Linked DNA regions of Danio rerio. Each later gene encodes a partner of the first gene's protein in a complex. Links are inferred from orthologs where the notes say so. Each region holds a gene or a part of one and is shown on either strand. Other genes may lie near its edges.

Region 1 (4,210 bases):
AAATACCTTACAGAAATATGCTTGGTCAACATTTTGTAATTCTAATGGGTTGTGTTGTAAATGTGGACACTAGTCATCATTTACTCTTCCTCTGCTGTGATATTCTTTTATCTGTTAAACACAAAATAAAGTATCTTAAAGAATATTGGAATCCAGTAACTTCTGACTTAAATAGTTTTTTCACACTGTGGATTTCCTGGTTTGAAACCATTAAAAAAAAAGTGAGTAAATATTCTGTTGTGTGTTTGTGTGTGAAAACTCTTTCAACTAACTAGAAATGTAACATTTGTAGGCAAACTTCATGGTGTTTTGAGAAAGCCCAGTCTGAAAGTTTGGAGTAGTTTCGAAGTTTAAATAACTGAAGTAGTTTTTAAGAAGTTTGACAGTTGGCATAGTTAGATAACTACATGTTAGCATGTTTCTATCAATGCTAAGGTGTTACTAGGTGTTTGCTAGGGTTTTTAGGTGGTTGTTAGGGTGTTCTAAGTGGTTGCTAGGGTATTGCTAGATAGTTGCAACAATGTTCCGAGTGACTGCTGGCAGTTGCTAAAGTTACGCTAGGGTGTTCTGTTATAGTTAAGGCGTTGCTAGGCAGTTGTTCTGAGTGGTTACTAAGGCATTGCTAACATAAATTAGCATGGTTCTAGTATGAATTACCATGTTGCTGGCATGTTTCTAGTAACTAGCATGTTGTTTTGCAATGTTGCTAGCATATATTTTTCTAGTATAAGCTAGCGTGATTCTGGTATGAATTATGTTGCAAATGTTTATAATATAAGGATTAGTATGATTCTAGTAAGAATTGTATGTCGTTAGTATGTTTATAGATTAGTATGTTTCTAGTATGGATTAGTATGTTTTTAAGATTAGTATATATTTAGTACAGATTGCTATGTCGAAATATGTTTCTAGTATAGATTATGTTTCTAGTATGAATTGTCGTTAGTATGTTTCTAGTATATTGCTAGCATACATTGGTTTATTCTCATTATGTCTAATGTAAAGTCAATGGCAGATTTTTACAAAATAAGGCAATGGGACAGTTGCTACCGTACGGCTATAAGATGAAAAGGTGATCAGTGATTGTCAGATTGGTAGTCTGAGTTGAGCCTGTATGACAGTCTGGTGCAAAGTTACAAACTGGTCACAAACTTTGGTCCAATATTAAGTCAATGGGACTTTTTCCGTGTCAGATTTTGGAAAATCCTCTATGTAGTATAACAGTATGTTGGCTTTCTCAACTTCCATCATAAATATTCTGCGATCTGCTCCGGAACCAAAGGATGGAGCTCCTGATTTCCACGGACAGCAAATCTGATGTAAACATCCGGTGTTTACTATAGACGCCAACATGGCGAGCCGCAGAAGTAATGCGAAGAGTCGGGACAAACCTGACAAATATTCTGTCCTTCTGCCGACTTACAATGAGCGAGAAAACCTCCCGTTGATCGTCTGGTTGCTGGTGAAGTATTTCGGCGAAAGGTAATTGCGAAACCTGAATAAAACCAGCTGTCAGCTTGTAGAAGTCCTAATGATGAGCTGTCAGTGACGTCACGCTAGAAGAGGAACTGTAATTTTTTTTATCGGTTTTAAGTGCTCATTTATTTCATTAATGCAGTGGCTACAACTATGAGATCATAGTCATCGATGATGGCAGTCCAGACGGAACACTGCAGATCGCCGAGCAGCTGCAGAAGATTTACGGCGCGGATAAAATTGTGAGTTATGCATTATTATACACACCACATGATTGATATCTCGTCGGATAAGTAATTAAATAAAGCTGGTATTTTTATTCTTTTCAGCTCCTGAGACCGCGAGCAGAAAAGCTGGGATTAGGTAAACTGGCTCATTATGCTAAATAATCATTTTATTAATGCTTCTTAAATAAATAGTTAATCCTTAGGTCATCCAAGTTGTAACAAAAACAGGAGTGAGCAACACCGACATTTTAAAAGTGCCCAAAAAAACATATACAGGAAAAACAAAATCTGAATATCTGTGTCTCCTGAATCTTCAGAAGTGAAACAATTGCAAGAAACTGAACATTATTAAGTTTTTAATATTGCCTGTATGACAACATTATGAATTGGCAACATTATTAATTATGAAGGTCTTAAAATGTATTTAATGTTTTGCTGAATATGAAAAGTGACCCAAATTGTCTTATGGTGTGTAAAAAATGAATAGTAACTGGTTATTTTTCAGCTAAAATATGTGTGCTGTAGCAGTATTGACGTTAATTAATTATTTTATTATTAATTAATTAGTAATTGACGTTTATGTCATTTCAGGTACTGCCTACATCCACGGCATTAAACATGCAACAGGAAACTTCGTTATCATAATGGATGCAGATCTGTCACATCATGTAAGCATTCATCAATTAGTTGCATACTGTGTGTTTTGTACCTTTTTGAGTAAATTGCATGCAGGGTTTACATGGCCATGAAAAAATGGACATATTTAGAAAAGCCATTGAAATGAATGTTGCTGAATGTCTTATGATGAACATGTGCCTTTAATATATTTAATGTTTTTACTTGTGGCAAAAGGGTTTCAATAGAATTAAAGTGATTCATAGTTATAACGACTTATAATGAGTTAGAATTAGGAGCCATCTCATGGGAATGATTTGTGTGTGTTTCTGCTTGTATCAAGTGAAGCCTTTAGGAGCATTCATGTATGTGTTTTTTCTTCTCCTTCACAGCCAAAGTTTATCCCACAGTTCATTGAGTAAGTGATTTCTAATTCATTTATCCTTGCTTCTGCTTTTAAAGAACTGCTCTTTATTCTGTGTAATGTAGTTTTGCAGTAATAGCATTATTACAAGCCTATGAGTAACTTCCACAAATTTGATATTTGTTCAGAAAACAGAAAGAAGGTGGATATGACCTGGTGTCTGGCACAAGGTACAGAGGAGATGGTGGTGTGTATGGATGGGATCTGCGGCGAAAACTCATCAGGTATAGGACTGGCAACTTTAGCTGAATGAGCAACTCCAATGAATAATATTAATAATAGGCAAATAAGATGTATTTTGTCATCTTTAGATCTATGTTATGGCTGCTTGATTATGTAAAAGAAATCGTTATCATGATTTCTTTGGTCCAAATTGTCATTGAAATGATTTTTTATTTAGATATATATATATATATATATATATTTTTTTTTTTTTTTCTTTTTATGTTTTATTATTGGAGATCATTTTACACATCATGAAATTTCACAATTCACAAGTAGATATGGTGCAATAATAATTTTCTCAATAATTTTAATATTATAATCATTGGAAGCCAAAATCAAAATTTATTTCGATTAATTGGGTAGCTGTTGTCCAGGGGTGCCCAATCCTATTCTTGGAGATCTGCCTTTCTGGAGAGTTCAGTGCCAACCCTGATCAAAATCAACTAAACCGACTAAGTAGGATCTGAAGAAGCACTTGGTAGTTAAAGAAGGTGTGTTTAATCAAGATTGCAGCAGAACTCTGCAGGAAGGTAGATCTCCAGGAACAGGATTGGGAAACTCTACCCTAGTCTGTGGCCCAATTTCTGTAAACTAGATAAAGGTACATACAAGTATAAATGCACAAGTGTTGGTTTAAAAAATAAGGACAAACACAATTTGAGCTTGTACACTTTCAACTTTTTTTTATTTATTATTGTGGTCAAACGCATTAAAGCAGCCATTAACACAGCTGTTATAGGGTATGCGGACAGAAAGCGCAATAAAACAAGTCATTCATGCTTCTCTCCGCTGTGTCAAAACATCAAAATACAATAAAAAATCTAGTTTTCACATTCTTTTCATTTTCTTGCTCTTCCACCTGCACAAAAGCTGTAGAACATTGGTTAGTTCATTCAGAAGTACTTGCAATAGTGATGTAGAAAGTGTCTGTAAGGAAAGGTCGTAGTGAAATTCACTTACAGCACATGTGGTCACGCAAGCGATGCATCCAAATACTTGTAAATGTCAGTTTGATATGGCAATGTCAACCGACCACTCAGAATAAATAAAAACAGGGCTTAGATTATTCCATGGCACATATACTCTCACATTTTGTGGTACTATATTACTTGGTTGATATAACTTTTTTTTGTTTTAGTCGAGGGGCAAACTTTGTAACACAAGTTCTGCTCAGACCAGGAGCGTCTGATCTTACTGGGAGTTTTAGGTGAGGCATGTTTATAAAGAAATCAGTCTTATTACT
Region 2 (4,307 bases), on another chromosome or scaffold:
GGTCTCGTTCTTTAAGTTGTGGGTGTTGTTCTGCTCCATCACCCCCTCTATCTCAGTGCAGCCTGTTCTGTTGTGTCTGCCAACTGCTCTCTGCTGGATCACAGGTTTCCTGAGCTGGAGAGCAGGGACTGGCAGTCTCAAACACTGTGAACGGCCAACTTGCTTTTTTCCCACTGCGCTTCGTGTATGTTCTGTTCACTGAACGCACACTCCTACGCAAACACCCCGGCAGAAGAAAATCACACTGATTATGAAGAGAATTACAGCAATCACAGATAGATAGATAGATAGATAGATAGATAGATAGATAGATAGATAGATAGATAGATAGATAGATAGATAGTCCCACACACATGCCACACTTGCTACACTTCTCTTTTACAGCCGTTCTCTGTACTGAAAGAGGCAGTCGCTGACAAGTGTAAACACCACTAAGAATAACCTCACAGTGATCTCAGCGCTGTCTGAGTGATGTTTATACCCTCTCGGCGGGTGAGGAGGTGTGATGGGTCACGGACGTGCTCAATGGGCGGATGTTCGCCCGCGGCATCCAAAACACAGCACTGTCCACCACTGCCAGCAGGACAGAGACAGAGAAAACAGCTTCAGACTGATGGAGCGCGGGCGTTTCATTTCCTGCCAGCATCACAGATAAAAAAACCTAAATCTCTCAATTGAGGAAAAGGTTCAGTGGATCTTATATATTTTAACTCAATTTAAAAAGCGGAATCAGATCAATTAATTAAATGTACTGTAGGTTAATTTCAGATTCGAATATACAAAATTATTACTGCATTTGTATGTAGGCCTACATTTACAAAAAAAAATCATTGCTGTTCAATCCTACTTTATTTTTTCTCATACACTCTAAAAACGTTGAGTTATTTATTTTAACCCACTGGTCGAGTTAAACATTTATGGTTCATTGCTGGGTTACTTTTAACCTTTATTAAGTTATTTATTTAATAGCTCAACCAGTTATGTTAAATATTTGGTGCTCTGGCTTTGTTGGGTTATTGATTTAATAACTCAACAGTTGGGTGAAAAAAATTGAATTTCAACAGTCAACTGATTTAACTGACACAGTTATGCCTATGTAATGCTGTTTTTGCGCTATAAACTTAAGCTTTAACACAATAATATTGCAGATACAGTATATACTAATATTAGACTAAAGCCTACATTTAAGATAATGGAGTAAAAAGAAACGAAATGCCCATTTCCCCTTCTCTTTCAGCAGGGTTTAGGAGATCAGTATTTCATAAAGGTTTGTTTAAGTTTTAAACAAACAGACAAACTTCCAGTTATACTAAAAAAATGCTGTTTTGGTCCTTAGATATTTAATTATCTCTCGTTTCTATAAACATTTGAAAGCACAGACCGTTTTAAAAACAACCGTGAAGACGTGCACTACATTTCCCATAATACTATTCGCCATTTACGTCATCAACCTGCGTCAATAATCCGAAAACAGTGAGCTGGCATTGAATAGTAGGTAAGAGAGAGAGTTTATTAGTAACGTTACATTATAAGTCCAGTTTCATTTATTAACATAAATTTTTAGTCGCTAATTATTGACGCCAAGTTAACAGATTTCCTCCGTTTAGCGCTGACTGTCAGATTTCATTGTAACCACCTGTAATCATTAGCAATCGTGCTAGCTTTAATACGAGTGAGGATTAAAGCGAATTTAAAAGCAGTATATGCATTTATTCTAATTTTTAGTCACATATGATGTTTCTTGATCTTCTGATTTCGTCTGTATCAAACACTGGTCAAAAAAACGAAGCTTTGAGGCTTTTAATCTAATGTTCTGCATTGTTTATTAGAAATATTCTTATTTTTTAAGTGCACTATACTCATGTTTTAACTAAATATTTATATGGAACGCACAAAAGCCATACAGTGTCATTTAAATACAATTAAGTGAAATATAACAGCCTAACCTTATTGAGGTAAAGTTTTTATATATTCGCTCAATCAGACTTCATGCTTAATAATATTACTTCAAAATAGTATTCTTTGCCAATTCAAATGGTGTAATCATATTAGCAGCCAATAACCATCAAAGCAAAACAATTTTCACAGTCAATTAAATAGAGCTGATGTTGTTTTGAAGTCATACTTGCATAAGATTTCTGACCAAACAGGTTGCGAATTACATGGGGAGTTTGGGAAGTATTAACCCTCTAATTAAGGCTGGATCCCTCTTGAAGGACGTCCAAACAAGATGTATTGATGGGTCAGCGTTTTAAAACTGAAAGTTCACTCTGATCTGTATTTTAAGTAATAATGTTAATAATTAAAATAGTAGACATCCATATGACCACCCCTATAAAGGTTCATACCATTGTGAATGCATAATTGTGCCCGTCAGTCTACGCGAGAAAAAAAGTCATTCAACAGTATGAAACTGGCAGATTCAGAGCACCGATAGACACCGTAAGAATTAGCAAGGCTGTTTTCTTATAAAATAGGGGTTTGTTTCTACATGTAGCCTAAAAGCAAACTCAAATTAGATGCATAGTTTGTAAAGTTTGACCTAAGATAAGTTGAAATGGCTAGCCTGTCAGAATACACTAAACAGCCTTTCCAATAAAACACTGAAAACTGAAATACACTTATTTATAATTCAATATAATATATACATTTTTGAATAAATTAGGTGTAATTTAAATAAATACGTGAATTTGATTCACTGAAGCATGTATTACACAAACATTACTGATAAAGTCAATGTATAATTCGCACACTAAGACTAAATATTTAAAGTAGCGTGGTAAACAATATAATTACCATTTCACTGTTAAAAAAATAAATAAATAAATTAACAAGTGTGCGAATACTAAACCAACTTCACCTCATTTCTAACATTATATTCTCCTATTTATCCTCAAAGGTGGATTATCTGTGTCTTCAATCATCTCGCAATCCCCCAAACCATGACCAAGCTTCTGCAGTGGCTTCTTGCGGTGTCTCTGATTGGCATTGCATGGGGACTCGTTACCTTCGACCTCCTGGATTTGCATTTGCTGCCCCAGTATAAAGAGCTTGCATGGCCGATGCCCGTGTACCTGCTGGTGGTGTTTGGGTGTTATTCTCTGGCCACTGTCGGCTACCGTGTGGCTACATTTAATGACTGTGAGGATGCGGCCAAAGAGCTGCAAGCGCAAATAAAAGAAGCCAAAGAGGACTTGAGGAAGAAAGGACTGAAGATGTGAAACTAGTTTGTGATTATCAATATTCTTTATTTCTCTGTGCACAACATTTCCTCCACGGTGACTGCAGTCTGGTTCTATGGATGTTTGCACTGTCATATGGACTAAAATGAAAACAGGTCAGCTTAGTTCATGTTTATTTCAACATGGTGTAAACTCCTGCACACCTGTGAATCTATTTTCAGCTCCAGGACAGCTTTATTTAAAACATTACTGAAACATTGTGGACATATTGTCAGTGCAGAGAAGTGCTATTTTTGTACAGTCCCAAGTCCAGAGTGTGTGTATTTGCATTGGCCGAGGAATGAATATGGCTCTTTCTGTTTTTAGTGAAGTCAGAATTCGGTTTCAGATTTACACATGAACTGTGCTTGTGAAAGAAATGTGTCGGTCAATTAAAAAAAAAAAAAAAAAAAAAAAGATTTACAAATGTAAAACATTTGTGTTGAATTCCATTACGGTACTTATTAAATAACATTTTAAGGGTCAGAATGTTTAATTTGAACATTATGTGGTATTTGATTGCCTGAATAGATAAAAACTACTTTATAAGGTAATTTTCCATTGCGTTTTCTCCAGGACATTCCACATAATAAAACTGATGCTTGATGCAAAATGTGTAAATCACATGTCAATCAAAACACAGACCGATTCATTTTCAACTGCAATGTAAATGTAACTTTTTGAAGCTGTTAATAAAACAAAGATGTATGCTTTAAAAAAAAAAAGCTTCAGTCTTACTGGTTCAACGCTTCACACCAGGAATAACTACAAAGAGATAAAAAAAAAAAAGTATCCTCAGCTAAAATAATTGCATTATTACCAGACCCACTTTGGGAATTTTTTTTTTTTAAGTTTATGAACAAAATCACTGATAGCCAGTGGTGGATAAGAGTACAGAAAAGTCATACCTAAGTACCATTACTTGCCTAAAAATGTAGTGCAGGTAGAATAAAAGAATCTGATGTAAATATTACTCAAAGTATGAGTAAAAAGTAGAGCTTTCAAAAGTACTCAGAAGTATTACACTAAAAAGCTGATGCATTTATATGTAATTAGTGAGTGTGTGTAAACGTAACATTCTGTAGT

The links. Proteins that work in one complex are often made in the same cells at the same time.
Region 2: dpm1 (region 1) and dpm3 share a complex: the UniProt entries of both Homo sapiens proteins name them as parts of the dolichol-phosphate mannose (DPM) synthase complex. The link is inferred for Danio rerio from reciprocal best matches to the Homo sapiens genes DPM1 and DPM3.

What each region holds. Positions count from the first base shown.
Region 1 is NC_133198.1:23,416,608-23,420,817, forward strand, and holds the start of dpm1 (dolichol-phosphate mannosyltransferase subunit 1), read left to right. Parts: upstream 1-1,316; 5' UTR 1,317-1,351; coding exon 1,352-1,482; intron 1,483-1,618; coding exon 1,619-1,718; intron 1,719-1,805; coding exon 1,806-1,839; intron 1,840-2,294; coding exon 2,295-2,371; intron 2,372-2,710; coding exon 2,711-2,736; intron 2,737-2,870; coding exon 2,871-2,966; intron 2,967-4,105; coding exon 4,106-4,174; intron 4,175-4,210. UniProt on the Homo sapiens protein: Transfers mannose from GDP-mannose to dolichol monophosphate to form dolichol phosphate mannose (Dol-P-Man) which is the mannosyl donor in pathways leading to N-glycosylation, glycosyl phosphatidylinositol membrane anchoring, and O-mannosylation of proteins; catalytic subunit of the dolichol-phosphate mannose (DPM) synthase complex.
Region 2 is NC_133194.1:9,591,924-9,596,230, reverse strand, and holds dpm3 (dolichol-phosphate mannosyltransferase subunit 3), read left to right. Parts: upstream 1-1,437; 5' UTR 1,438-1,495; intron 1,496-2,899; 5' UTR 2,900-2,942; coding exon 2,943-3,221; 3' UTR 3,222-3,946; downstream 3,947-4,307. UniProt on the Homo sapiens protein: Stabilizer subunit of the dolichol-phosphate mannose (DPM) synthase complex; tethers catalytic subunit DPM1 to the endoplasmic reticulum.